Linked DNA regions of Diceros bicornis minor. The protein of the gene in region 2 purifies or fractionates together with the protein of the main gene of each other region. This does not show direct contact. Links are inferred from orthologs where the notes say so. Each region holds a gene or a part of one and is shown on either strand. Other genes may lie near its edges.

Region 1 (7,704 bases), on a different chromosome or scaffold from region 2:
TGTGAGTATGAGCGTGTGTGTGTCATCACACAAGAATTGTTTACACCTTTCAGTAAAGGGGCACCTCTACATTAAAGATATAATTGAGTAACGATAGTTCATAAAGCACCATGGAATCAAAAGCACTCTATAAATTTAAAATACTAGTACGGTATTAACATAAAGCAAAGAACAATAATTTTAAAGCATCTTACAGCCCAAGTGTATTGTAAACCAAATAGAAATTCACTGTGGGATCTGCCTTTTTTTCAGTGATTTTCCTCTATTATAGAACCCGGATCTAAATGAACTGTTAAACACTTAGTCTAAAGGTATGCCAAACATTTCTTAAGGTCTTAACAAAGAATCAGCTTTTTTTTTTTTTAAAAACAAAATGAGGCCTAGGTTAAATATTTTATTTGGCTTCTCAAGATGGACTGAAAAGTTGGGCACCGGCTCCAGACCAATTCCTGGACACACATCAAACACAGCCCTGTCATTTATCCAGTCAGTCAAAACAATCTTTTCCATCTAACCCTTTAATGTTTATGTCCTAAAAAGCTGCTAATTGAATCCAGCTCTTGAGATCTATTTGTTAAAATCTATACCATCTAATTTGTAAATGAACAAAAATGAAAAAATATATGTTAGTTTTCCTGGCAAAACAGAAGAGAATCCACCATATGTAACCAAAAGGGAGAGGGCAATGTTTTTAATATTTAAATAGTTTTCTCTTAAAATATGTCAGAGACAAATTCCCAATGGTTTTAAGAAATTAAGAGTACCTCAAACTGTTTTTACAATTAAGGGGACACAGTGTGTTTAAAATTCCTCAGAAAAATCTAAAAATACCAAATCACTCTATAAATTTAGTCGTGTTTCCTCTCCCCCCTAAAAATAAGTGTAATCTTTTCTAACTTTACTCATGAATTTTTATAATGTATCATATGCAGTAAGAAAATTACAGATAAACACTTTAAGATCTATTGAGTCACATTAAAAATCTCAAACTCATTTTATCTGCAGAAAATCAAAATCCCTGTTTTTTCCTTCATTTTCTCATTATGTGAATAGGCTAGAAGGAAGTACATGGCCAACATCCTATTTCTGATGCTTTTTGCACACCTGGACTCACAGGTTCTTTCCATGATCACTGACACAGGACTGACTCCAGAGAGGAACAGCAGTAGATAAACTCTAAAGCAACAAAGATCCCTTATAAAGGTTTTCATTGATTTATAAGAAAATAAGGAAACTGGGGGAAATAGGGGAGACAGGCATCCCCCAATCCAGGTTTTCCATTAAGAACCACTCAGTTAATGATTCTTTGCCATTTTCCCTAGGGAAAGTAAAACTGTCGTGAAAGTAATATATTTTTTAAATTGCAGCCAACATACAGTCAAGCTAAATTCTCAAATACCAACTTCGCTGCAAGTTTTTATCTCCAAGTTCAGCCAGCGGACCAGGATGTGACACACAAGCATTCAATTACAAAATTAGTCCATATAAATCTTAAAGTCTAGTATAGGCAAACATAATTATAGTTTATTCTTACACGCGCACCCACACACACACAGATCCTCTTATGAAAACCATCTTTCTCACCACACATCCGAATATCAACATGGATAATTTATTAACACTGAATGGTGAAACTAGGATAACTACACTGATTTCAATTACACTTCTCAAACGAAAAATAATTTTTTCCTAAAATGGGGTAATGCGACCATGTAAGAATACCAAAAATGGCAGCGTAAGCAAAACGTACCTGTAATGTTAAAGATTCAACGTACTTGGAATCATAAACACTTTGCAAGAGAAGCCTTCTATCTAGCAACCCCTCCAGACATTCTTTTCCATTTAGAAAAGGGAAGGGGAGGAGAGTGGGGAAAGAGCGATTTCGCTTGAAAGTTTGTATGAGCACATACTGAGAAATGTACCCAAAAAAAGTGTGTTCTTAAAGCAGGTCTAGAGTTAGAAGTGAGACACAAGTTCTGCGGCCTACAAGGAACAACCCATGTTGTTCTACATGTTACCCTACAATCAAACACTTCCAAAACACAGAGTGTACAAAGAGCCCGAGTCGTCGGATCAGGCAGACACACCGGAAAAGTCAACCTCAGTCTCCTTCCCTCCCAACGACGTGCGTTTCAGGTGTGTGGCGGCGGCTGCCGCGGCTGGCAGCAGAGAGTGAAGGCTCTACACGCGGGCATAAGTGGGCGAACAAGTTACCAACCAGGGAACACACACACACACACCCTCCCGTTAAGCGCTCCATCTTTAAGGAGTGTTTACTGCGCGCAGTCGGCAACCGGATTCAATAATCCCCGCCACAGGAGTTCCTCATCCCCTCGACCACCCCACCTGGGCAGGAGCCCAGGGGCTGCTCCCCGAGGCCCCGGGACAGAGTCGTGCTCCCCGGCCAAGGCTTTTCGACCTCATATCCGCCCGGAATTCCAACCGGGGGATCCCTCCCCTCAACAAAAGACCCCAGAGTCACCCTGGGCTTTTTTACGAATTTCCAAACAAGGGAGAGTGGTTTTGCCATTACTCTCCCTGAACTAGGCCTTCCCACGTCCCCGACCCCCAACTCACCATTGATCGCGACCCTGGCCCTTCCCAAGGCCACCGACACCCCCCGCCGGCTCGCCCACCCCGCGGCTGCCCCGGCCCGGACCCCGCCGCCCGCCCGCCCCCCCTCACCTGTCAGGCGCAGCTTGACGGGCCCGTTCCTCCGGCCCCCCGGGTTAGACATTTCCCCGGCGGCGGGGGCGGCGGCGGCGGCGCGGGGCCCGGGGCCCGGGGCCGGCGGGCGGGGCGGGGGCGACGGCGAGGCGCGGCGGAGTCACCACAGCTGCCGGGGCTGGGGCCCGAGCAGCCGGCGCCGCGGCCGCCACGGCAGGAGGGTCCCGGATGTGCCGAGCGTCGTCGCCATGAGCCGCGGAGGGAGCGGGACGCCGAGCTCCCCCCTCCTCCCACTTCTCCTTCCTCGGCCCGGGCCGCACAACAAAGCGGCAGCCGCGGCCGGCCGCACCGCCTCCGCCCGCGCCCGCGCCGCCTCCACGCAGCCGCCTCCGCCTTCCCCTCCTCTCGGCTCGGCGAGACCCAGGAGCCGACGGGGCTGGTCGGCTGAGGCGGGCGGTGTTCGGCGGCGCCGCAGCAGGACTCCGGGCTCGGCCGCTTCCTCCTCCACCCGCCCTCTTGTCTGAGCGAACCGGGTCCTGGGGCCGCCGCCGCCGCCACTCGTCGGCTCCGGGGGGCGGGGAGGAGACGGGAGGCGGGGCCGGCGGGGCGGGGCGGGGCCGGCGGGCGGGGCCTGGGCGGGCGCGCGCAGGGTGCCCGGGGCGCGGGGGCGCGAGGCCCGGGCTCCGCTTGGCCTCCGGCGGGCAGGACGGGCGTGGGCTGCAGCAGAGGGTCCCACGCAGGAGTCTAGGAGGGAGCGGGCCAAGGAACAAAGTGGCGGCGCGGAGCTCTGTGGCACCAGGAGGGGCTTGGTGTCCAGCCCACTTAAGGGAGAGCGTTTGTCCGTGCAACACGGACTGCATTTTTTAGACGCCCACTGCGTGCAGGGCACTCTGAGAGGCTGGGGCGGGCAAGGTTAGAGCCGAGTCCGCTGCCTTCAGGGAATTGAGCGTCGCTGAGGTGAGGGAAGAGACGGTGTTCCCACACCGAGGATTCCAGCAAATCCCCAGGGGTGTTTTGCTCCTGGTATCGTAGTTGCCACCTCCATCCAGGACTCACCTGGTGAGCGAGATCAGGTTACCTGCCTGCTCGGGCTCTTTTTCCAGCTGTAGCACAAGGAGAGGAGGATGATAATAATGCCTTAAAGGATTATGAACAAGATAAACCTTGGAGAGCAATGTATGAAAAGCTTTTCATACAGTACTGTATTTCCTTATCTCAGGGGGAAAAAACAGAAAATGAAATAAAAATAACTGTACTTTACTCTTTGACCCTGTAATTGCACTCTTAGGAATTTATTCTTGACGTACAGTAATACAGAAGATATTCTTTGCAAAGTTCAGTTAAATAACAAAAGGAGGAATGAGCAAACAGTCTAATGGCGAATTATATTATATTAGCATGAGTTATTTTTATTTATTTATTTTTTGCTGAGGAAGATTAGCTCTGAGCTAACATCTGTTGCCAATCTTCCTCTTTTTGCTTGAGGAAGATTCGCCCTGAGCTAATAACATGGTGCCAGTCTACCTCTATTTTGTATGTGGGTCGCTGCCGCTGCATGGCCCGGGGGAGTGTTGTACCGTCAGCACCTGGGAACCGAACCTGCGCTGCGGAAGCAGAGCTGGTGCAACCTAACCACTACGCACGGGAAGGGGGAGTGAGGCCCGTGGGGCTGGCCCCTGGCATGGATTTTTATGCAGCCATTTAAATGGCAATTATGAAGACCATATAATATGGAAGAGTTTACAAATGAAGTTTAAAAGCAGATTGAAGAGTTATATGTATGCATGCAAAAGTATCTAGCACAATGAAAACTAAGGGTAACAGCATAGGCGATTTTTTGTGTACTGTTAGTTTTGCTTAAGGCTGTTAATGCAATTTTAAATGTTTAATAAAGTCTAATATATTTTAATCCTAATTCAGTATCAATCATTACTTTTAATTCATCAGTAATGTCACTTCATTCTCCAGATGAAGTGACCTCCAAGAGCATCCCGTCAGTCTGGATACAGCTCTACAATTAAAATGATCCAAAAATTATATAAAGTGCTAGAAGTTAGACTAGAAATTCAGGGGATGGTGCTAGAAATTCATTCAACAAATACTGAGTGCCTCCCATGTGTAAAGCAGTGACCCAGGTCCTTTAGAAATGCTTCTTTGTACTACAGAAGCCCTGAAGATACACTAATCAATTTGAACAGTAGCTGCTATCACAACTTAAAACACTGGATGGGTAATGGCAATAAAACTTAGCAAATTGATATATACGTATACATTTGCCTTATTGTTATGGCACGCCCTTTGTTCCCAACCACCCACTAACATAATTGGTAGCTTTGTATTAGATAATAAAGTTAGGATTTCAGAATGTGTGGGGAAGCTGGAGAGATTGCCTGTTGTGAAGTTTAAAGCACTACATTCAGATATGTAAGTGATGGTGCAGAAAAATGTATACGTACTTAATATGCAGGGGAGGACTCTGTTTAAGCTTGCCTGTGTATGTTTAAATCTTATTGTTTAAAATAAAAGATTCAGATAAGAATAATACTTTAAAACATTCATACTGTTAAGGAGAGCTAAACTTTCATTAGATTAAATTTCAGCATTGGATGTATAGCATTGCTTCATCATGGCAACACTTCTAGACATAATTTTTGAGAAAAAGAGGGAGGAATAACAATTCTTAGGGAATTCACCCTTTTCTTTCTTCCTAAAATAGAAATCCACTTCCAAGGTAAATTGTACCTATACATGTCTCTAATGGGTATGGGAATTGCAGAAAATCTTTTCAAAGGCTTTTTATTCCCTTATGACTTCTAATTTGCTCTTGGTAGAATTGTGCACCTTTTATCAAATCATTGTTTTAGGCATCTGTCTCAAATATACTAACTCCACCTATTTCATACCAATAAAATATGTCTTTTTCCATAAATGCCACTTAAAAGAACCTTCCAATGAAAATGCTAACAACCACTCATTAAATAACATTTTTGAGCAAAAGTTTTAAACTTTTCCATTAATGTTTTTTAATCACTGTAAGTTGCACTCTTTATGATGGTATCCTAGACTAGAGGTGAAAATCTACACATGGTTATAAGAATATTTAAAACTTTTTGTTTAAAACTTGTTTCTATTTTCCAAGGCTAATATTAAATCTGATGTGACGTTGCAAGAAAATGCTTACCATCTGTAGTTGGTTTTTTTCTTCTGCTCCAGCCATTAATATATTTTTTACATAGAAGAGTTGTCTCCAGTAATAAAAAATCTGTCTGAGGTAAGGTTATGTTAATAATGGTACTCCTGTGAAGCTATTTTTGTAGTGTAAATTTCAGATTTAATACAGTTTATGTGCCATGGAAAAAGCAAACGTCAGGCACTCAGCAGTTTCTACCACTGCTTAAAATTCAACTTTCTTTAATGTTTAAAATGTCATGAATTTAATTTAATTTAATATCTACTTCTAGCTTCCTCTATTCAGCTTACAACTGATGAAGCAGCCAAGCACAGCCCCCCCCTGTACTTGCTGTTGTCAACCTGACCCTCCTTCCCTCCCCCATCTTCACTCATTTCCTCTCTGCCTCTGCCTGTCCCAGGTCCTTAGTTAGGTTCACTGAAAACCCTCATGTGCCATCCTGTCCTGACATGGTTTAGGATTAGGTTGCATTACAAGCTGCTCTCTGTGACGCCTTCCCTGACCCCCTCCCAGCAGACCTCGTCCCTGGTGATGGAAGCTGAGGGCACATCAGGGACCTGTGTCTCTCCAGATCTGGGCTCCCTGGTGCCATTCGCCTTGGCTCTTGCCTTCTCCGCCTCTACCCTGGTGTACTAAGATGGTAGTCCCTACTTGCATCTCCTTCTGAGGGAATCTGCCCTCACCTACTGTTGTAACATAGTGTCCTAGGCCCCCTCCCCAGAGATACTGATTCAACAGGGTGGGGTGGGGCCCATGAATTTGCATTTCTAATGCTGCTGGTGGGGAGAACCCACTTTGAGAACCACTGCCTTACATCAAGGATGAGCCTGGGTGGCCTTATTTGTGTTAGGTGAGCGTGGCCTCAACTAACTGAGCCAAAGGTGGGTGGCTGATCAAGAGGCCAATCAGAGTCTCTCTCCTTGGAATATGTGACAGAGATACTGGGAGGCTGTTAGCGGTGGGGAGCTGGGTTGAGAGGTCATAGTGTTAGCAGCTGAGGAAGCCATTTTAAGGTTCCAGTACATTAAAAAAAGAGGAAATGAGGGCCGGCCTGGTAGCATAGCGGTTAAGTTCACGTGCTCTGCTTCGGCAGCCCGGGGTTCACAGGTTCGGATCCGGGGTACGGACCAACTCACCGCTTGTCAAGCCATGCCGTGGCAGCGTCTCATATAAAGTAGCGGAAGATAGGCACGAACGTTAGCCCAGGGCCAATCTTCCTCACAAAAAAAAAAAAAAGAGAGAGAGAGAGAGGAAATGAGTGTGTAGAAAGAGACTAACAAAATAGAGAGAAGTGGAGATAAGAGGCTTCATAACCCTAAAGAGAGAAACAAAGAAAGTGATTGTCTCACAGATTTCCTGCCAGTACTCCTGGCCCAGGTGTGACTTCTCACAGTTCATTTCCAAGGGATCTCACTGTGCAGAATAACCACCTCACCCCTTACTTAAGCAAGTTTAAGTGGGTTCCAGTCCCTTGCATTCACTTGTCTCCACTTGGAACACCTTTTCCTCTTCAGGTCTGTCCTAAGCACGTCCCCAAACACCTTTGATTGTCTGCCTTGCTCCTGCCTGTGTTCTTCTCCAGAACTGAGTCTCACCTGCAACCCGGCCTATAGCTTGGATCCTACAACCCAGGGGCAGCACTTCTAGAATCTAGAGAAGTCTAATACATATGGCTATCGTGCTCTTGAAAAATGGCTAGTGATGTGCTGCAAGTATAAAATGCATGTTGGATTTTGAAGACTTAATATGGGAAAAAAGAAGGCAAAATATCTTATTTTTTATATTGATGACATATTGAAATGGTAATATTTTGGATATATTGGGTTAAATAAAATATAGTAGTAAAG
Region 2 (7,391 bases):
ATCGCCACGGGGTGCCACCTCAAAAAAAAGGCAATGAATCCAAAATGTGATGAGTATTTTGTGTAAACCATAAATAGGTATAAAAAGATGTTATTATAGGAAGTGGCCTAGAGGTGAAAATGTACTTTCTGGGAACAAGAGCAAAGAGACCAAATTCTGGGCCTAGTCTAGTCTCTGACTCTGACAAATCAAGCATATCTTTAACATGATTTTAAGAAAGAAGTTTATCCACATGACACTTTTACCAACGTTGAGTCATCAACAAGCATCTCTTGGTAGGTATTTGAAAAGCAAAAGTCACATTTTTCAGATCTGAAGAGTTTTCAGACATTGAAAGTTTTCCCCAAAAGAGTAATTACTTAATTTTGAGCATTTAGGAAGAGTGAATCTAAGTCAAAAACAAAACTTTAAAAAATTTTAAGTATATTTCTTAGTGAAGTTTGTTCTTAGACTGAGATCCTTTATCTGCTTGTCAATCTACTCCACAGAAGATGGATTTTTTTTTAGGTGACCTAATAGGAGGCTGTAAATAATCTCATTTCCTCATATCTTATCATGCATTAAGATATTTTGAAAAATGTTTTGACAGTGTACCAATTATGTTAGAAAAATTCTGAAACCATTTATTTACATGGAAAATTAAAATGCAATCATGGAATCAGGTTTCTCATCTTCATTATAGTTACCTTCAACTATCTTCAAAAATTTAATTTCAAATGAATACAAATTCAAATGATTCCTTAGTTCAACCATTTTGAAACTTTAATTCCACAAAACATAAAATTTGTGCATTTTGGAAAACTGTTTAAAAGCCCAAATAAAAAGCCCCTAAGCTTTTAAGTTAATTGTTTAAAAGTGTGTATGTAGATAAAATGAAACCGACTCATAAACTATTGAGTCTGGAATTTGCAAATCATAAATCTTATCCTTGTAAACAAAACCTAACAAAATCAGAGCCTGCTAATTTCCTTCTTTCGTAATCTGAAACAAAAGTTTTAGTGATTTTTAACATACACAGAAAATTGAGGGTGCCATTTAAAATATTTATTAGCAAAATATAACTCAATTTTTAAGAGTGTGGGGTATAATCAGAAGCAACTGAACATTCTAGTACTGCAGTATACAAAAACAGCCGAGAATGAAACACTGGGATTTGATTAAACAGTAGAACTCAAATTTATGTTAGGATTTTTTTGTTTACAATAAGTGCTTCTTCCTCATTCCATTAAAAACTCCCACCTCCATGGGACTTTGAATATAAAACATAATCTTAAAAAGTTCTCAATCCACTTCAAATACCCTGAAATGTACCATTTAGAACCTGGTGCATATTTTTTCTAGACAAACCTAAAGGAAAGCCTGTGCAGCCCTTGGTAAGTAAAAAGAGTGCCTCAGGGTGATGTGGACTGTCAAATCCAATACATTTCATCCCACATCCACACAGGGCATCTCCAAGTCACCAAAGGGGGAAGAGAGGGACATAAAATGATAAAGATGAAGGTAATGTAAAATTATCCAAATCTAACCGCGTCACTTTACAGATGAGCAAACTGAGGCCTGAGAAAGGTCCAAATACTCCGTTACCCACAGCCCAGCTGCAGATTCTCAATAATGTGGATCCTAGCTGCAAAAATTCTAACTCTTCAGGTCTCAGGGGTTCGATGCTTCTCATAACAAATCTTTAAGAACTCAATTCCTGCATTTTTCCCCCTCAAAAACCTCTAGAGATAGAGATCAGGTGGGCAGCGGATTTACGATTTTAACCCTTCCGTTTCCACCAAACGATTACTGCAGAGAACCGTCAACTCCCGGAAGGCAGGGTTGTCTTGCTCCAGGCACCATCTCCAGCACCTAGCACCCAGCACCCAGTAGGCACTCAGTAAACAACTCTCCGCCTTCCACCTGACAACCTCCACTCCCTACCCCATCCACGCCTAGCCGTCAGTGGAGCCGGATAACTTTCCTTTGGAAAGAGCTTCTTGTCTTGCAACTTTCCTACAGTAACTCCGGGCCAAGAAGCCGGCCTGGGGGAGTGTGTGGCCCTTCCCAGGGGCTAAGGATTGAGTAACTGGCCATTTAAGGGGGTGGCTCGGCCAGCCGGCGTGGGCACGCAGCATCGCCGCGGGGCGCGGTGGCCCAGGTGTGCCAGCTGCTCTGGCGGCCTCTGCGGCCGCCGCTCCGGGCCGCTGCTCCCCTGCCTCCTTCAGATAACCAACTTCTCAAACTTCCCTTTCCGGGGGTGGGGGCTCGCCTCGAACGCGGCCAACACAACGCCTTTCCTGCCCGCACAAAGGGGGCCAAACGTGCCCCGCGCCCCTTTCCACTTGAACTTTCCTTCTCTTTTTAAAGAAAAACTCACGTCCCTGCGGCCAAGGGAGTCGGGCTGCGTGGGTGCCGCGAGGGGAAACCGTCCCGTTTCCGCCCGAGCGCTGCGTTCCCGGGGCCGCCTGTCAAGCGCGGCGAAGGGGCGGGGAGCCCGGGAGACCCCCGGCGGCCCGCCAAGCCCCGGCTGGGGGCCACTCACCCGACTTCTGAACTTGCGGTGGGATCGTGCTGGCGATGCGCGTCCACAGGACGATGTGCAGCGGCCACAGGCCCCTGAGCAGCCCCCGACCCATGGCAGACCCCGCTGCTCGTCATAGACCGAGCCCCGAGCGCAGCGGACGGCGCCTTCCCGGACCCCTGGCTGCGCCTCCGCGCCGCGCCCTCTCGGGACCCCGCGCCGGGCCGGCCGGGCAGATGTGCGGGCCAGATGTGGCGCCGGCTTGCCAGCTGGGAGGGGGCCTGGAGGCCGGCGAGGCGCAGGGAGGCCCCCGGCGGCCGAGGGGAGCTGCGCAGGAGGCCGGCTCCTGCCCCGGGCGTGTGCGCGCGTGGGGGTGTCTTCGGTCGGTGCGCGCGAGTGACTCACTCAACTTCACCCGGGCGCTGCGGGGGAAACAGGAAACTCCTCGCCAACAGCTGGGCAGGACCTCTCGCCGCCGCAGAGCCTTCTCCCTCTGCTCGCTTCCAGCCCTCGCCCTCTCTCGTAGCTGCCAATCACGTCCCCTGGACCAGCCCCTCTGAGGGCTTTGGCAAACTTTCAGCTGCCCCTCACCGCTCTCAGGAGCTCCTCGCTCCAAGGATTTACTCCGGAGTGACTAAGTGCACACGTTTCAGAAAGTAACTGAACAGAGAAAGTGTATATCCTTTCCATAGCACCCCCACGAAGCATCTCCCCCGCCCCCAACCTTCTTGGGATTGTTCCTAGGTGCTTTAGAGTTGTATTTTCAAACTACAAGTCACGACCCGTGAGTGGATGCTGAAATCTAATGAGTTGTGAGCACATTTTTTCCCTAATAAAATAGTAAGAGTAAGGATTGCCTCAAACTTTTGTTTCGGTTATGTGTGCATACACTGTCACATTGTAAAAAGGTTTTCTTACTGTAGGTTGAAGTCCGGACGTTTTTTCTCAAACTTTCATGTGCATATTGATCATCTGAGAATCTTGTTAAAATGCGGATTCTGATTCAGTACATCTAGGATGCAGCATTTCTGATGAGCTCTTGGGTGGTGCCTCCCATTTTGACCTGCCTCTTCCTGGGGGTGATTAAGTGAGTAATTGTAAATGATCAGCCATTACAGAGTGATAATGGTGAGAAATCTTATCTTCAGAATGTATCAAGTACAGTAGAAAATGTAAAAATGAAAGTGGCCTGGGAGTCAGCTAAATACCAGTGTTTGCATTCCAGTAGTGCCCATGAAGAGAGAGAAAGCTTATCCTCTCCTCTGCTATAGGGGAAATAGTGGGAGGCGGACAGAATAAACTTTCAACTTTCTCTTCTTGCTAAGGTGACCAGGTTTGCCCAGAACTATACTGGTGTACATCTGTTTTGAAATTAATCATTATCCAACCAAGACACATTCTCTTTCCCATGTGTCTTGTTTGGATAATGAATTATATGCTCACCCTACTTCCAGCTCTCAAAGACTTAGATTCTGTATAGCCCTCTGGTCAGGAGATCATCCAGCAGTTTCCACAATGAACTCTCTTGTCTTATGAGACAAAGATTATTTGCAGAGGCAGGTGGCCAGATTTACTGGAAGTAAAGGCAAATAGCCCTCCCTGGAAACCCAACTTCCAAAATCTTCCCTGTCAATCTAAGAGTTCATCTGCTTGATCCTGGAACCTTAAGTCTTGTCACCATTGTTCCACCCAGCACTGAAACTGCCTCTGAATGTGTCTTTTAGGAAAATGCCACTTCCCAGCTCTTGTATTTCGGATGCAGGAAGGGCAGTGAATTCAGGAAGGCTGGGCATCTTCTTGCCCACCAGCAGGCTTGCCAAAGCTGGAAGCCACTTGAGCGATGGAGGAAAATTGAGTTCAAAATCTGCTTCTCCTATTTCCTCCACAGCCACCTGGCCCATGCCACTGCCTTCCCTGGCGCAGGAGTCTCCCAACCACTCATCCCCAGTCAGGGCCATTCTGGGCCCTTCCACACAATTTCTCAAATCAGAGCTAAAATAATTTTTCATAATGCAAACCTGATTATACCAACCCTCTGATTAAAATCATTCAATGGCTTCCAAGTGCTCTTGAGATAAAGGATAGAACCAGATCCTTTAACATGCCTTCAAACCGCCTCCTCTCTTATAACCTTCCCTTGGGCTTCTCCTCCTCTCCTGCTGAGAGCCTTCTCCAAATTCCTTGAACATGCCCCTGCATTCCTCCCACACAGAGCCTTCCCCAGGGTGCACTTCCTGTCCTCTGCCCTTCTTTCTTTTTCACCCAGCCAACTCTTGGTCTTCCTTGGGTAAATCATAGCTTCCTTGATGGGCAAGCTTTCCTTAACCTCTTGAGTAGATCTTTTATTGTAGCTTCTCCTGTCACCATATGACTCTCTTTTTTTAGCACTTACTACAGCAGTAGTTTTATAATTATTTGCGCCCTTCTTTAATTTCTATTCCCATCCCCCACTCAAGTCCATACATCTTGAGGACAGGGATTACGTCTCTCCCTCCACTCACTATTAAATCCCCAGCACCTAGCACATAATAGGGGTGTAATAACTATTTGTTGGATGAATGAACAAATGAGGTCATCAAGATTCAGAAGGAAATTGTACTTAACTGTCCTAGTTACTTCATAACTCTGAAGAAGGCATTCTATTACCTCATAAATTGAGATATAAACAGGCTAGATTTTAGCTGAGGGTGATGTCACTACTACTTCTTTTTCTTAAAAATGAAGAAGTGTGTGGGTTTCTTTTTCTTTTTTTTCTAAATTTGCCCAAATTCCTCTGGACAGCATACATATGCTTCCTTATTCCCCAAAATACATGGAGGCAAATAAATGCCCAATTGATTCCGAAGGCTTTCTCTTTTATATTTATTGCAAAGACAGATGTTTTACATTGTCAGAAGCCAGGTTTGAGGTATTTGATTCTGTGGTGGAATATTTAACTGGTGATCTTTGTCATCACATATCACTAACGTTGATTTTAATTTTGTTTGCCTTTAACATTTCTGATTTAATCTTCAATCTCCTGTGAAATTGAGCGTCTGAATTCAGCATTGCCAAGTGCAAACTCATCTTTTAGAAATCATCACAATGAAATCGTAGACGTGTGAACTCACACATGCTACAATTTGACAATATTAAAAATTTGTCAATCTGACCTTCCTTTTGAGAGTCTCATTGAAAGAGAAGTTTGACGCCCTTGATCAAGACATTGTTTTCACACATAATTGTATATTCACTTAATATAATTTTCTATGTTTTCACATAGGTAGTTAATAGCCGTATGTAAAAATTGGGCCATTTGCAGATGGAAACGAAAAATAAAAGCTTAACTCAGGACTTAAAAAAGAAGAAAGGTAATTTTTAAGCCCTTACCAAACTGAAAAACAACGAAAACCAACTTGATCCAAAGTTAAACAGCTTGACTATCTTCATTTTCCCAGTTTTGCAAACTCTGAACTCATACACGAAACAACTGGGCTGAATCAAAATGTGGTTACTTTAAGCCCTGCATTTCCCAGCTGTGATGAAGCAAGAACTTTCTACTCCCCCAAACTTTTTGACATGCAGCTGTTGAGGTTCCTGGCAACTACAGCAGTTGACAGGAAGATTCCTCTCCATGTAAACCAATCACTCTGCATTCTCAGCTCTTATCTCTTGACCAGTTTTCCTTTTATTGTGAAGCAAACCAACAAGCACTGAGACAATAGTGACTTTGTGAGGGTCGCTACTCTTTTAGGGTCATCCGTGATGCCAGCTCCTCCAGGAAACATTCTGTGATTCCTCCAGCCTAGTAAGATCTCTCTTCTCCCAGGGAGAACCCAAGGAGCATCATTTAATTTATTTAACCTATTTTTTTATGTTTGTCCTATTCTAATATGGAGTGCATTATAGCTATTCATTTAGTTTTTTTGGAATTCCACCCCACCAATTACAAAGTCCTTGAAAACACATTATTCCTTTTTTAACTTTGGACAACACCCTGTGCCCTACAGTACTCAATGTATGTTTCTTGTCTTCAATAGAGGGAAAAATGAGAATATCTATTTCCCTAAGAGTAATATATATTACTTTTATAAAAAAGTCTGAAACACAGATAAGCCAAAGGCAGAAAATAAAAAGGGTCTCTAACCTTATCAACCAAAGATAATCACTTGTTAACATTTGGGAGCATGTCCTTGCATTACTATTCTAATCTTCACATTACAGGTGAAGAAATTGAAGATTAGAGAGATTAAGTATTCAGCAAAGGTCACATACCTAGTAAGAGACAGAACCCAGGTTTGAGCTGAGGCCTGTTTAGCTCCAGAGTTGCTGTGGCAGCCCTAGCAAACCAACACACCCCATTTCCTGCCTGGTTGTTCAGCTGTTTCTTCTCAATATGTTTACAGGTGTTTTCTTCCCCTCATGGGTCAAATGCTAGTGTTTACCAATTCCGTCCTCTGTCCCTTTTCTCACTCTTCCTGGGGAACACATCTGTATCTACAGCTTACTGGCGCTTGATGATTTCCGAATCTAATTATCAAGCTCTAATTTCTCACCTAAGCTACAATTATTCCAGTTGCCTACTCGACTCTCTTCATAAATGTTTCGTTAGTATCACACACTCTTTATTCTAAAATGGGACTCTAAAATGTATTTTCCTTTGGCCCATTCCCTATATAAAGTAAAGACTCTGTCTTCAATGGGTAGCCAGAAACACAAAATTAGCTAAGAATTTGCCATTATTTTACCATCCAGAACTAACTAGGCATTGGGGTCTTTCTAAGTATCTCTTGAATCCATTTTCTTCTCATCCCCACCACTGACATTATTTTAGTTCTATCTCTTGTGATTTCACGTGGGATTACATCAATTTTGTCATCTTCTTGTCTCTGTAGTCTCACCCTATTTA
Region 3 (7,867 bases), on a different chromosome or scaffold from region 2:
TTTTCTCTGTGTATATTGTGTGTTATTACTATTTATTCTTGAAGTGGAATCATTGCTGTTTGGGCACCTAACTGGGTGTCCCAGACATCTGTCCCCAGCAGTGTAGATATAGATCTAGCTTTTCCTTGGTAATGGCTGCGTAGTATTCCACTGCATAATAAATCATTTAATGGGGCCCAGGCTGATGGACATTGGGGTGGTTTCCAGTTGTTGGATTTTTGTTACAGGTACCTACAGACCACACATCTTTAAGGAGTTGGGCAAATAACTCCACAGGGCTGACTTCTGAAGGTCAAGTTGTTACACAAGTTACAGTTTTGAGAGATTCTGCCAAGCTGTGTTCCCAGGGGGCTGGACACATTTGGGGCCATTTCAGACCCATTTTACCTCCTCCAGCCTGAAAGAGGATGCCGGGTCACTCCACCCCCTCCCCTGCGTGGAGATCTGCGTTCCACGCCCTGGCCCAGGCCCCCATCTGCCCTCCACGGGCCTCAGTTTCCCCAACTGTATATGAGTTGGGCTGGATAGTTTGGAATGCCCTTGAACCCTATGCTCACTGGGGTGCTGGTACCTGCTCGCAGGAGCAGATTGATAAATTTTCAGGGGTTTTTCCAAGTGGCTGTTAAATACAGCCATTATTAAAAATCAAATTTTTGGGGCCGGCCCAGTGGTGCAAGCGGTTAAGTGCGCGCGCTCCGCTGCAATGGCCTGGGGTTTGCCGGTTTGGATCCCGGGCGCGCACCGACGTGCCACTTGGCAAGCCACGCTGTGGTGGCATCCCATATAAAGTAGAGGAAGATGAGCACGGATGTTAGCCCAGGGCCAGTCTTCCTCAGCAAAAAGAGGAGGATTGGCAGATGTTAGCACAGAGTTAATCTTCCTCACAAAAAAAAAAAATTAAATTTTTAAGCTTAAATTAAATTAATTTAATTATATATTTTTAAAAGGTAATAAATATTAAAACTCATTACTTCCTAATTATTTTACTGCATTTTACTATTATCTACGCTCTTGAGGTTACCTACGCCTGTTGGATCTGCGTGGTGGAAATGCCAGATAAAGGTAGACTACCCTGCACCGCGTCCCGACTCTGAGTTTGGCGATTGGTAGCCTGAAATCAGCAGAGTGGAAACATTTACACCACGGAAATTGGCAAACCCTACCCCCCACCCCTCTTGTTAATGATCTGCCAGCACACCCCTGCCTTTGATCCTATAAAACCAGACCCTAAAGATCTGCATGAGGGTTTCTCTGAGGACCAAGAGGAAGAGAGCGTTATCAAGCTAGAAATGTGGAGGAGGCAGGAGAAAGGCAGGGCAGCCTGGAGGCCTGTGGTGGAGCTCAGGTAGGGCTTGTCTGAGCCGTGTGAACCTGGCAGGTCACAGCCTCCACTTCCTCTCCTGTAAAATGGGGTGATAGCAGCCATCTTGCAGGATTATCCTGAGCTGTATGGAGAGGGGCTGCCGCAGCACATGTGGTTAGGAGCAAGTGTTCTGGGAGCCACAGGCCTGGGGTCAAATCCCTGCAAGGTCACTTAATGTCTGAGACCCACTTCCTGTCTTTCAGTGAGGCAGTGATAAGACTTTAGAGACCAAGGCTTAGGGACTTTAAAATGCTGCGGGGTGGGGTAAGGCAGGGAGGGGTGCCCACTGCTGCTGCTGTATGGGAACACTCCTGCAGCATGGGTGAAGGGGTGTCCACAGGGCCGTCCTGTGGCTTTTGGTGGATGAGTGGCAGGGCACAGCGGGGCCCCAGTGAGTGTGATGAGGGGCCCGTGGGGAGTCCCTGGCTCCTCACGGGCCCCTCATCTGGTCATTTCAGAAGGCAGCAGAGACCATGACGGCCTGGAAAAGCCCCCAGGCTGAGGAGCCCCCACAGAACCCCTAGTCTGGGCCTGCGGCCCCATCCTGCAGGCCTCCCGGGGAGTAGAGAAGGGAGTAGAGCCCAAGGGGAGAGTGCTGTGTTTAAAAGGGATCTGGGAGCCGCTCACAGGTTCTGGGAAGGTGAGGTTGGCGGAATTGAAAGCTAGTCACAAAGCAACAACAATAACATCACAGAAACAACCAGCCTGCCCGAGAGCTCTCTCTACAAGCATTGCCTTACTGACTCACCACGAACCTTCACAACAGCCCCGAGGGAAGTTCTGTTATCATTCCCGCTTAGCTCAGAGGCCCGAAGGCTGTCCCCGAAGATCACACCATGAGGAAGTAATGACGTGAGAGTTGAACCCAGAGCTCGCCACCCTCTGAACTCAAGACCCTGGGCCCTTCTTCCCACACGTTCCTCAGATGGGAAACTCCAGGCCCAGAGAGGGCAGGGGACTCTCCCGGGGCTGCACAGCACTCTGGGACCTGGGCTTCCTGGCGAGGAACTGGACACAGCCGGGAGGCCAGAGGCCAGGTTTAAGATAATAGCTCATCCCTGTTTGCCTGAGACTTTTAGCACTGAAAGTTCTTTGGCCTGACAAACCAGGATGGTTGGTCACCCTGACATCCACCTTGTGCCGTCCAAACCCCCCAGGACAGTTCCACAGGGCACGGGCTCAGGACACAGGGAGGAGGCCTGGTCTCTGCTCTGGGGGCCGGTCTCCCCACCCCGGGTCCCTGGACACCTACTTGTGGGGCTGAGGCTGCAGACGGCCAGCAGCAGGGCAACGACCGGGGGGAGCGTGCCGCGGTCCATGCTGTCCACCCGGGGGTCTGTGCGCTGGGCCTTATCCGGTGTCCAGGGGCAGGGCTGCGGGCGGGCGCGGGGGCTGGCGTGGGCTCGCGCGGGGACCCAAGGGGAGCAGGCGGCCGGAGCGACGGCGTCCCTGCTCCAGCCTTCTGAGGTGGCGGCCGAGGGGTCAGGAGAAGTGGGCACGGGGGCGCAGGGCCAGGCCGGGGGGCGCGGGCCGGGAGATGAGCCGGGAGCGGGTGCTGGGCTCCTGTGGACGGCGGCGGCAGCGGCAGCCCGGCCTGTGGATGTGGATGGAGGCTGGGGTATGACCGGCAGCAGCGGGGAGCTCCCGGCTCATCCAGCCAGGCCCGGGGAGGCAGGAAATGCGCTTCCTTAGAGAAGGGGCCGGGCCAGGCGGCCTGCCAGGCGGAGAGAGGAAGTGCCATGGGCTTTGTCGCTGGGTGGGGGGCCCTGGGGCGGGGGGAGGCAGTGGGGTGGGAGGGTCCAAGCTCTCGGCTTGTCTCCCCACGCAGCCCATCCTCCCATCCCACCCTCCCCAGGGCCGGCTGGTGGGGTGCATCCGGCAGCCCCCAGGGGGCGGATGACAACAATCACCCTAACAGCCCACCAGGGGGACCTTTCAGGGGCCAGGCCCTGGCCCAGGCAGTTCACGTGGAACTCACAGCCCCATGAACTCAGTGTTCCCATTTTGCAGATGAGGAAACAGAGTCCTGATGAGGTGAGATAAGGGGCCCAAGGAGACGGTGGAGCTGGGATTTGAACAGGTCTCGTCGGGCGCCAAAGCTGGCTTACACAGCACGACACAGGGCTGTCATTCCAGGTTTTGCAGGCAGAGAAACTGAGGCCCAGAATAGCAAAGGAACACTCTCAAATTGGGTCAGCATGGCAGCTGGGGCTGAGGCCTCAGGCCCATGAGGACAGGGGACCTGCCCAGGGCCACACACTCCATGTCTGCCCTCTCCATGGGTGCAAAGTCCTTCAGGGACAAAAGAAAGCCCCAAACAAAAGGGGGACACAATCTAATGGCTTCTCTGATGTCAGATGGCCCCAGGTTCAAAACCCTGCTTGCTCTGAGCTGAGGCCTTTAGCAAGTCCCCTCAACACTCAGTCACCCTGTTTGTGAAGTGGGCGCATGGTGCCTTGCTCGCCAGGCTGTTGTGAGATTTCCAGGGGACAGGGTACCACAGTGCTGAGTTCTGGGCCTGGCACCTAGGAAGTGCTTCCCCATCAGTGCTCCCTGAGCCTGGGAGACAACCCCAGAACTGTCACTTGTTCATTCTGCATATAGTAAGTGCCAATTATGTGCTCACCATGGTGCGAGTCACGGGTAGCACCTAGCATCAGGCCCCAGGGAGCTCAGAGGAGGAAGCCTGAGCTGTCTGGAGGAGGTGGCATTTAGGCCTGGCCTGTGAAACACCAGACAAGTTGGTGGGTGGAGAAAAAGGGGTGAGGAGGGCATGTCAGGCACGGGGACCAGCCCCAGCAGAGGCACAGAGGCAGGAAGTGGTCGGACCCCTGTGGGACAAGCAGGGGCTTGGTAGGGACAGGACGCCTAGAAAGGCAGATGCTGGCTGAGGGGTCTCGAATGCCAGGACTTTATCCTAAAGGCCACAGGATGTCATGGAGGGTTCTGGAGCAGAAGGTGCTGGCAGAGCTGGGCTTTGAGAAGACAAATCTTGGAGTGTGCCGGCAGGACTTGCAGAGGGCATGGAGCCAGGGGTCTTCCTCTTTATACTTTTCCTGGCTCACAGATGGAGAAATCGAGGCCCAGGGAGGAAGGAGAAGGCAGGAGCCCTGGCTGCCTCCAGAGGGAGCAGAGCAGAAGTGTGTTTGTCTCTCCAGGAGCGGACATCAGGGCGGGAAGGGCGGGTGTGGCTCCTTGGGTGGGGATTGGGAGAAGGTTCGCTGCTCATCCAGCCCTGCAGCTGCCGGACACTTCCCGGCCAGGCATGGGTGTGGGGTCACGGGAGACCCATCCATGCCCAACAGGCCGGGAAGGCTGTGATGGGGCGGAGGTGGCCACCCCCAGGCCCCCAGCTCCTCTGCCTTTTTCTGTAGGCGCAGAGATGGGGAGGTGAGCACCAAGGGGCAAACGATGGCTTTGGTGGGGGATAGCGGGGTGGCTGTGAGGTTTCCCCAGGTCCCTGACCAGGCTCTGTGCCCCACGGACAGTTAATCCGGCCCCAGGGCCTGAACTCGCCCTGCACCAGGCCCCACCCTAGGCGTTCACCTTATCAGCTCTGAATCCTCACAGCCACTCCTGGAGGCCGGGCCATTAACGCTTACGGAGGAGGGACCCACGGCTGCCTGAAATTTAAGTGACCCCCAGCCGGAGAGTGGAGACCCCAGGGCTGCCTGGCTCCAAGCTCACCTCCTTCCCTGCCGCCACCGCCTGAGCTGAATGTGGAGACGACAGATGTCACTGGGGCTGTGGGTGTCGTGGGGTGAGGGAGGTTGTTGTCCACAGTGGGTGTCGGGGCATCCGCGGCAGTGACAGGGACCCCCTTGGAGGCTCTTCCCAAACTTCCCTCCCTCCTACTTCCCTCCATACTGCAGAATCCATCCCCGCCCACGTTATAAACAAGACCTCTGGGTTCTCTAGAAAGCAGGAGAGTCTGCAGGTGGATGCAAGGAAGAACTTGTAGGAAACCTGCAGGGAGAAAAACCCTACAGACAGCCCCGGAGGGCCTGGAGTCACGACCTGGGAAAGCGCATGGAGGAAGGGAGGGACTGGGACCCCCAGGGGTGGAGAGGAGGCCGCCCCGCGGCTCCCACAGCGCCCTGGGCCTCCCCAACCCCCCAGCCTGTGTCCCCTTTCCCTAGCACACAGCCCAGGACCCATTGGTTCTTGAGATCTATTTATTGAAAGCATGAAGTGCCCTGGAAGGTAAGGCAGGGCAGGGGCTGTAGAGGTATAGGGAAACTGAGGCACACAGAAGTAGGTCTTGCTCCTCTTCCGCAGAGGAAGAGGCCAGTCCCTGGACTGGGTCGCCTGCCTCCCAGGAAGCCTGATGGTCATACGGTCTCACAGCCAGGGCCAGCCCTTGGGTTAGCTGTCTTCTGTCTGTCCCCTGAATGTACTCTCCACCCTGATGGACACATCTACCTCCTCCCACTCGCTCACCCCTGCACAGATCAGAGAGAGGAAGGAGGAGGAGGATCCATCCCTCTGGCTCCTTTCCTGAAGGGTCACTGCAAATTGGCGGCCTCCCTCCAGTGCAGGCCGCAGCCCTGACCGGGCACTCTCCACACAGCCCTTCAGGCCGAGGGTGGTCATGGCCCATGCTGCGCTGGGGTCCTGGCTGCCCCCTGTGCTTTCCCCTCACCCTGCCTGCACCTGTGTAAACAGACCCTTCATTACACTCTCCTCAAATTATCCTATTGGAGCGTGCCATCTGTTTCCTGCCGGGGCTCTGACTGATGCAGATGTTTTCAGGTGCCGCCTATCCACACGCCAAAGAGACACATGGCTGATAGCCAGGCCCCTGTGCCTGGACCTCGCAGTGCGCAGGTGCACGAATTCTGCTCCTTCCTCCTCCTGGCTGGCCGGGAAGGCCAGGGTTGCAGGAAGGGATGGAGCACGTCTACCCTGGCCGCTGGCCACTGAAGGAATTTTAGGCGGCCCCCAGGGACCCCCCCAGGCGGCTGTCCGTCTCCAGCACCGGCCTAGAGCCAGGGGCTATTGAGGACAGCAGGGCCAGACCCACAGGGACAAGGCAGAAAGTGGGTGCAGAGGAAAGGGGGCGCTGAATTGGGAGTCAGGGTGCCCAGGCTCTGCCCCTGGTGGCCTCTGGCAAGACCTTTCCATATTCTGGGTCTATTTCTCCATCTGTGCAATGGGAGGGCAGCCTGCTTACCTGGAGGATCTCCAAGCCCAGGGCAAGGATCGGAATCTCTCCACCATCCACATGCTCGCCCAGCCTTGTGCCAAGTGTCACCTCACAGCCACCTTAACGGGCCAAGACTCATGTCGCCATTTTACAGTGGAGGAAACTGAGGCTCAGGTGTGCACGATAACACGGCTGGGGAGAAGCAGAGGATAATTCAAATCTGGGCCTGTCTTATCGCCCTTGGCTTCCAGAACATTTCGTCCTGGGTTGCCTCCCACCTCTCTGGTCGCCTTATCTGCCTCCTCATGGTTCCTCTTCATCCTCCCACGCTTGGTCCCTGGGCCTCTTCCCTTCTCTGTTTACCCTCAGTCACTCCCAAGTCAGGTTTTCTCAAACCTGAGTGACCGTGATGTCCTTCCTCAGCACAAACACTGGGACTCAGGTTCAAATAATTGAAACAAACGTTTTGTGAACCTGTATATGCCCTATGATGTGCATCCATCCTCTTCGTTTTCTTTCAAATACTGATCACAAGCCAGTGATTGACCTGTTGATTTCGTTACCCACCAATGGGTCTTGGCCGTAAAACGGAATGCCCTAGATCCTTGCTGCTCCAAGGAGGACCTCTCTCAGGCCCTGCCCCAGACCTGCTGAATCAGAACCCGCATTTTATCAGATCCCAGGGCATTCTTGTGCACATTAGAATTTGAAAAGCACTGTTCTGGGTGCCCTCATCCAGACAAACAGCTTTAAATACCGTCTATATACCGATGGCTCCCAACTTTACATCTCCAGCTGGAACTCTCCCCCGGGTTCCAGGCTCCCGGATGTCTAACAAGCATCTCAGACCTCAACGCGCCCCAAACTGGGCTCTGCTTGTTCTCTCCCGGCTGCTCCTGCCTCAGTCTCTGCATCGCAGACTGTGACAGCGCCCTCTGCTTGTTGCTCCAGCCTTGAGGTCGACCTTGCCTCTTTCTCTTACACCCCTCATCCGACCCGCAAGCAAATTCTGGCAGCTGCTCCCCCAGATTCCCAGTGTTTGTGGGGTTCCCCCCACCCTACAGCCAGCGCCCTGATCCAAGGCACCAGCACCTCCTGGTACATTGCCGTCGCCTCCTCACTGAGCTTGCTCTCGCTCCGCCCCTGTCCCAGCCCACCCTGCACCCCCGTGAAGGGAGCCCGTGTTAACCCACGTCAAGTTCCATCCCTCCTCTGCTCAGCGCCCTTCCCAGGCAACCTTCTCACTCAGCATGAAAGCCAGAGCCCCTCAAATGGCCAGCGAGGCTCCCCCGTCCCCTCTCCGACCTCGCCTTCTGCCCTTCTCCCCCTTGCTCACTCCACTCCAGCCACACTGGCCT
Region 4 (7,062 bases), on a different chromosome or scaffold from region 2:
CTCTCACTCCAGGCCACGGTCCTCTCTGCACTTTTTTAAACTGTCTTCCCTTCCATCAAACTATCCATTCTTCCCACCCATTCTTCTGGCACTCCCAGAGTCTCCACATTTTCCCATCAACCTGTCCTATTTGGTTCCCAGGATACTTCTGCGTGGATCAAATTCCACGTGTTAAAGCTGAGCCAACTTTGGCCACGGAGTGCAAACACACGAAAAAGGAACAAAATGTAAAGCATATCTAGGAAACGTCGCTGCCTCCCCCCTAAACATATATACATATCTCCAGCCACAACAAAAACAGGAAAAATCCACCAAACTTCCAACAGAGGAAACCTATAACCACCCCCGACCAGACCCAGCGCCTCCCCAAAGCCACTGCCTAGACATAAAAATCTTGGTTCTAGAGGCTCCATTTCTAACTTAAGATAGGAAGGATATTTTTAAAATCATCTACTCACCAGTTGGTTTGAGAAAATCCATCGGGTATCTGGAGTAAGGAGGAGGGGGAGACTCTGGAATTAAAAAAGTAAGAGAAAATAAAGGCCGGGCCATGAGAAAGAGAGATAGAAACTTATGATAACAGAGGCATTCTTTTAGCCCAACTGTTTGTCTTAGCTGTGGGGGTTGGAGGCAGGGCCGCGAGGCGGTGATTGCCTTGATATTTAGCTGTCAGATAAACAAAAGAGGCCGCCTGGCGCCAGCCTCGGCGCTCCGCTCCTCCACGTCTGCGGCCGCAGCCGCCGCGCTCCACCGGCCCGGCTGGAAACCACCGGCTCGGCCGCGGCCGCGCACTTCACAGTTCACAAGGCGGGGGTCTACATAGCCCCCTCCCCGTCCCCGAACTTCAGCCTCGCTCCCACTGTCCACCGCCCAGGCCCGCCCCCCAGGGGCGCAATTCACCTCCGCCCCCGCCGCTGCGCTCCGCGCCCGCGCGGGGAACGCGGGGCTCCCCTTACCCAGCCCACCCGGGAGGCGCGCCCCAAGAGCGCTGGTGAACGTAGGAGGGTCTGTGGGCGCCCAGGATGCACCCGCGCCCCCATCCCCCCGCAGAGACGTTGAGAAAAGGGAAGCAATGGAGGCAGCTGGAAGGATAAAGAGGAGGAGGCTGGGGTCTTGGCGGCGAAGCCCAGGCCCCAGCGCATTAAGAGGCAGCAACGTCACGGAGGCGCTGGGGGCAGACCTACAGTCTATACAGTTCCATAGTCTGCGCTTTCCTGTGCTGAAAGAAAGGAAAAAGCAGGGGACACGCAACTTCTCCTGACTGCTTGTTCTTTTCCACCCTGAGCTGGCAGAGTTGAGAGTAGATATCCAGTTTGGCCTCCCTCCCTCCCTCACCCTCTTTGCCCCAAAACCCCAAAGCTGCGCATCCAGGGCAGTATCCGGGCCACTTGTGCACGACGTGACTCTCCTTATTTACTAAAGGAGCAGAGGCTCTCCAGCCTTTACGATTCGCTTCTCCCAGCCTTCCTTGGCGGGCTTGGACCGAATCCAACTCGGCCACACACCTCAACGCCTTTCCGGGCGCGGGGGAGGCGTGACCCCCAGTTCTCTCTGCACCCCGAACTGATCCGGAAATGAGAGCGTCTCATTTTTAGCCACACGTCTGTAGAGTGTGTGCACGAGCAGTGCCCATAAGCCCCCCTCGGAGCAACCGAGGAGAAAAAAACTGGAAGGGAACCCCCCAGGGAATGCCCTTCCAGTTTCCCCTTGTTCCTTCTCTACTTTGGTCGCCCAAGTCTCCTCCCAGGAGGGAATGTACACTCCCCTCCAGAGAGGTGGCTGCACAAACACAGCCCGCAGGGGCTTTTCTTCCACCGCTTGAGCGCCAGGGGGAGGGGAAGGTGGGCACAGAACAACTTCTTACCTAGTTCGCAGAGTCGGCTAAGGTGATGGGGGTTGCAGCACACCAGCTCGGGGTTGATCTTCCCGTAAGATTCACAGCAACACAGCCTCTTGACTTCCGAGGAATGCCTGAGATCCGGCCACCTGAACACTTTGCACAGCAGGAGAGGGAGCGAGTAGGACGAGGGCGGCTGCGCGGGCTGCGAGCCGGCGGGCGCCCCCAGGCCCAGCCTGCAATCCAGGCGGCCGGGCAGCAAGAGACACGCGGTGCGCGTACCGCCGCGGGACTCCACGGCCTGGAGCAGCAGCTCCAGCTGCCGTTCCTTCAGTTTCTTGAGCACCGAGTGCGTGAGTGCCTTCAGATCCGCCTCGGCGCCCCCGGCCGCGCCGGCGCCCGCGGCTGGGGGGTGGGGATGGTGGTGACCTTTGACACCTCGGACCGCCTTACCCAGGCAGCAGCCAGCCCTGCCCGCGCCGCCGCCACCGGCCCCATGCGCCCGGCCGTCCGTCGCCCCTTCTCCCCGCAGCTCGCCTCCTCCTCCGCCTCCCCCCGCACCCTCCTCCTCGTCCTCGCCGCCGGGCGCACGGCTCCTCCAGAGACGCCGGACGAGCGCAGATCGTTTGGTCCTGAACATGCGGGGCGAGGAGGCGAGGAGAAAAGTCGTTTGCCGGCTAAGGAGCGAACATGACCTCCGCACACCATGAAGAAGTCGGGCGCCGAGTTGGGGCAGCAGGCGCAGGCGACAGCAGCAGCAGCAGGGGCCTGGGCAGGAGCGGCGACGGCCCGAGGGGCGCTCCGTGGCATGCGCCAGTCTCCCGGAGGCCGGGGCGAGCGCGGGGGCCCGGGGGCGCCCGCCGGGGCTCGGGGGCCTGCGCTCCGGCTGCCCCACCCCGCGCGGCCCGCGCCGTGCGCGGCTCTCGGGCCCCGGCGCACCCCGGAGGAACGCGGCCGCCGCTTCCCTGGGGAGGACGAAGCCTGCCCGGGTCGGCGCCTCCCCAAAAAGAGGCCCCCCCGCAGCGGCTCCCGAGTGTCGGGCTCGCCAGCCTCAGCTTCCTACATGGAAGATCCGCGGGGGGCAAAAAACGAAAGGCGTTCGGCTGGGCTGCTGGAGGGAGGAAAAAGCCTCTTTCCCCCTTGCTAAGCAACTTAATTTGGGGGTGGGGAGAAGCAGGCAATTAAAAAAAAAAAGCAGGCACGCGATTTATTTTTTTCCTCTATATCCTTAGTAACCGGATCTCCTCGAATTCCGTGCACACGAAGACTCGGGGGAGGGGGCCGAGTGGACTTCACCCCGCATGAGATGTCTGGCGAAATAAGGAGGCTCTCTCAAAATCTAAGAACCCAATATGCAAAGCCAATGAAAAACACCACCTCCTCGCACCCCGGAGGTCTGGGGGCGTCCGGCTGGAGCTGGGGTTTAAAAAAAGAAAATCTTTACAAAGTAGAACGAGACGTTTGAGGGGTGGAAAAAGCGTATCCACGAGTTACATCCCCCTTTTTTCCTTGCAGAGCCCCGCGGGTCTTCCTCTCCTTTTCTTCTGCCAAAAGAAAAAAATCGTATATTTTTTTAATCCACAGAAAGCTTTGGCTAGGCTGCTTCAATCCTCCGCATCTGGGTGTTTTAAGGGAGTCTCTGGTCTTTCCTCCTGCGCTCCCGGGGGCCCCAGTCCTCGGAGGGGACTTCCTCGGGGCTGGCGGGGGCGCAGAGGCAGAAGATGCTGCTGCGGCGGCGGCGGCGGCTGCGCCCGGTGGGGCTGACAGCGCGGGGGAGGGCGGCGCGGCGGCGGGCCCCTGGCGGGTCGCGCGCTCTCGCCCTCCTAGGCGCAAGCTGCTCGCTAGTGCGGGGGCCGCCGGCGCCCCCTCCCCTGGCCGCGGCTGGCCGCCGGGGCTCCCCGTGTGGGCTGCTCGCCCCGACCCGGCTGCGGCGGCAGGAGGCCCCGGTGTCCTCACGCTGCCTCCTCCTCTGAGACTCTCCTCGTCGCGCCCGGGAGCCTCCTTGTCCCCCGTCCGCCCTCTCCTGGCGCTCGGGTCCTTCTGCCGCCGCCGGGGGCTCGCCGCGCCGCACTCAGGGGCTCCGGGGCCGGGAGCTCGGCAGCTCGGCGCCGGCGGGCTGGCTCTGTCTCCCGCAGCTCTCTCCGGCGCAGCGAGCGGACCGAGCACGGCGCCCGGCTGGCTCGGCTGGCGCGGCTCGGGGACAAGCTCCTCCGTGCGCCGAGCGAGCGAGCGAGCGAGTGTGCCCGGGGCTCGCCGCCTCCCGCAAGGCCTCCCGCCCCCGCCCCCTTCCCTCCCCCTTCTTCCCCCTTCCCTCCCCCGCCCCCAGCCGCCGCCGCCGCCTCTTCCCCGCCCCCCGCCCCCCCCCCCCCCGCCCCCGGCCCTCTGCTCTGCTGGTTCCACTGCGCAGTGGCGCGCCCGGCTCCGGCCTCGTCACGTGGCCGTCTAGACACCCTGTCGCTTTAAAAAAAAAAAAAAGCGATTGTGTTTCGCAAACAACAGATCGGGTTTCTAAAAGCTATTTCTCCCCCCGCCCCCCCGCCTCCGCCACCCCCTCCCGGGCCTGCAGAGGGGGGACCAACGACGGGGGGGCGAATAAAGGTGGGGAGCAGAGAAGCTCCCAGAATCGACTGAGACCTGGCCGGATCAGAGGAGAAATGGGAAGACCCGAGAGCACCGAGCGGGCTTCGCTGGCGAGTTTTGGAGCGGAACGAGCGGGTCGGTGGCCCAATTTAGACCCAGCCGCGGAGCTTCGCCGCGGCCGTCCCGCGCGCGCTCGCCCTAAGCGCTTCATTCATTCGTTCCGTTTTAAGGGCCCTGGCGGCGGATCCCCTGGCCGCGCAGGAGGGAAGGGGGAGGAGAGCGCTGTCTCCGTCTAAAAGACATTTACACCGGACTGGACCGAGGCCCTGGGAAGTGTGCGCTGGAGGGAACAGCCGGGCCGCCGAGGGCGGGGAGGCGGCGCGAATGTGACCTCAGCGGCGGCCGCGCGCTCCCTCCCGCCCTCTCCCGCTCCGGGCTCGGGTTTCTAGGACTGCCTGGAGAAGTGTGTCTTGTGTACAGCTCTGGAATGCATTTGGCTGGCTGACGAGCTGCGAGGGGCAGCATCCTGGCGGGAGAAGTCGGGGGGGGGGGCGGAGTTGCCCGCCCGCCGCGGGCAGGTTTCCTCCGGAGCCCGGAAGACCTCCGCCACCCCGCCTCCCAGCGCGGGAAGGTTACCTTCGGAGCCGACCTGCCTAGGGCATGCATATGCATGCGGGGCCTGCTTCTGCGCCCTCCACGGTCTCGTAGCTTTCAAGGTGCTTAGGGTCAGAGAGTTTATCCCTTAACCCCGGGTTCGGGAGAAGCATAGACCCAGCTGGCAGATTACTGCATGAAAATGGGTGAGGATTGGTAGGGCAAAGGACGAGAACGCGTTTACTTGGTGAAAGCTGATGGTACTGAGAAACATAATGACTTACATATATATGCATCAGTACTAAGGAGGCCACTAGTTGGCATGGTGATCTAACCTCACTTATTCAGTGACATAAGATTTTTTTTAAAGTCGTTTAGAATTGTGAGATCAGGACAATGAAACTCATTGGGGATTTTAATAAATCTTTAGAAAAGACGAAATGTACTATTTTCATTTTCCCAGCTAAATTATACTTTCTTAAAAGGAAAAGGCACAGGGACTGCCAGGTGGGGTTTGCTGGTTCGGATCCTGGGGGGCGCACCAACGCACCACTTGTCAAGTGGTCATGCTGTGGCGGCGTCCCCATATAAAGTGGAGGAAGATGGGCATGGATGTTAGCCCAGGGCCAGTCTTCCTCAGCAAAAAGAGGAGGCTCAGCAGATGTTCGCTCAGGGCCCATCTTCCTCACAAAAAAAAAAAAAAAAAAGGAAAAGGCACAGATGAATCTTAGCTTTATAGCTCAGCCCCCTACCTTCCAGCAACTTAAAAGGAGTCTGACATGCAATAGATGCTTAATAAATATTTAGGAATCAACAGAGTTGGATAGGACTTAAAGGAACATTTGGACCACTCCCCCTCCCCCAACCCACCAAAAGCACCTTTGAAGACATAAATGTGAGAGAAAAACAAGAGACATTGGTTACATGATCATCTTCAGGCAAGGGAGCCCTGAAGTTTATTGACCTAGAAGACACTGCAACGCCAAGCAGTGCAGAGAGGTGTGTAGGACAGGGCATTCTAAACATTTACTTTGTAAGGCCACATAGGCTGCAATTGTATAAGATCATAATTTGGTTATAAGTAAAAATGCTGCTTATCAAGAAGGACATTGAAACCTTGTGTGTCTGTGTGAAACTTTCTAAAGATGCAGCCTGCAAAGACCGCAGCTGAGGAGCCCAGGGGAAAATGGAGGAGGGAGGTTTGGACCCGGGTGAGCCCATCATCCTTGGCAGGGAAAAGCAGAAGAGATAGAATGAGATTTTTGAGGTGTGTGGGAAATGTATAACATACTCCCCTTAGAAAGGCTTAGAAAAAATACCAGACTAGAAGTCAGAAAACCTGATTCCGGGCTGGGGCTCTGCCACTCATGGGTTAAATAACTTGTACTAGTGGTGACCCTCACCACTAGTTGAGCACTTGGCAGGGTTTAAAAGCTTTCTGGGCAAAATTTCCTGCCCTCTCGGGGTCCCCTTCCCTCTCTCTACTCTGGGCCTCACTAGAAGATCTTCAATTTTCAAGAGAGGCTAGGCCAGGCTGCAAAGTGACAGGAAGGACTTAAATAAACAGATTAAGCAAATGTCATAATTCTAATTAAGCTTCTTGGCTAAATGAAGAATCTGGAGACTTGGAAATCTGGCCAGTGGTGCTAACACTCTGTGATGAGAGGACAGAGCACGCACAGGGCAGGTAGGTTCAGTAGGTGTTTCAGGAGTTGAATCTGACGTCACAGCTTGTCTGGGTGGAACATGCATATACTTGCACAGATATGCTCCCATATAGTGTAATTGTGGGTATTTTAATTCAGGCGTCACCCCTATGTTGCCCTCTACACACGGTTTTCCTCCTCCATTTTACTACCCTAGGTAGACGATGGGTGGGATGCTGGGCAAGTAGCTACAATGGTTGGTGCTGCTTTATGGCTCCTTGGCATCCCCTGAATCAGTTCACATCCCAAGCCTTCCTGAAAGCCAGCGCCACGCCATCGCATTCTTATTTCTTTCCCTTCCAAGAAAGAAGCTGGGCGGTAAAGGAACTCCCGGCTGGCTCGTGT

What was found.
Region 1: the proteins of TGFBR2 (region 2) and SMURF2 purify together in Homo sapiens (affinity purification with western blotting; 3 studies listed by BioGRID). This does not show direct contact. The link is inferred for Diceros bicornis minor from reciprocal best matches to the Homo sapiens genes TGFBR2 and SMURF2.
Region 3: the proteins of TGFBR2 (region 2) and ENG purify together in Homo sapiens (affinity purification with western blotting; 3 studies listed by BioGRID). This does not show direct contact. The link is inferred for Diceros bicornis minor from reciprocal best matches to the Homo sapiens genes TGFBR2 and ENG.
Region 4: the proteins of TGFBR2 (region 2) and SMAD7 purify together in Homo sapiens (affinity purification with western blotting; 3 studies listed by BioGRID). This does not show direct contact. The link is inferred for Diceros bicornis minor from reciprocal best matches to the Homo sapiens genes TGFBR2 and SMAD7.

Annotation. Positions count from the first base shown.
Region 1 is NC_080757.1:47,385,885-47,393,588, forward strand, and holds the start of SMURF2 (E3 ubiquitin-protein ligase SMURF2), read right to left. Parts: upstream 3,004-7,704; 5' UTR 2,738-3,003; coding exon 2,686-2,737; intron 1-2,685. UniProt on the Homo sapiens protein: E3 ubiquitin-protein ligase which accepts ubiquitin from an E2 ubiquitin-conjugating enzyme in the form of a thioester and then directly transfers the ubiquitin to targeted substrates.
Region 2 is NC_080741.1:34,747,551-34,754,941, reverse strand, and holds the start of TGFBR2 (TGF-beta receptor type-2), read right to left. Parts: upstream 3,017-7,391; 5' UTR 2,619-3,016; coding exon 2,525-2,618; intron 1-2,524. UniProt on the Homo sapiens protein: Transmembrane serine/threonine kinase forming with the TGF-beta type I serine/threonine kinase receptor, TGFBR1, the non-promiscuous receptor for the TGF-beta cytokines TGFB1, TGFB2 and TGFB3.
Region 3 is NC_080767.1:35,847,315-35,855,181, forward strand, and holds the start of ENG (endoglin), read right to left. Parts: upstream 3,004-7,867; 5' UTR 2,683-3,003; coding exon 2,616-2,682; intron 1-2,615. UniProt on the Homo sapiens protein: Vascular endothelium glycoprotein that plays an important role in the regulation of angiogenesis. Required for normal structure and integrity of adult vasculature. Regulates the migration of vascular endothelial cells.
Region 4 is NC_080755.1:41,553,820-41,560,881, forward strand, and holds the start of SMAD7 (mothers against decapentaplegic homolog 7), read right to left. Parts: upstream 3,008-7,062; 5' UTR 2,478-3,007; coding exon 1,865-2,477; intron 513-1,864; coding exon 459-512; intron 1-458. UniProt on the Homo sapiens protein: Antagonist of signaling by TGF-beta (transforming growth factor) type 1 receptor superfamily members; has been shown to inhibit TGF-beta (Transforming growth factor) and activin signaling by associating with their receptors thus preventing SMAD2 access.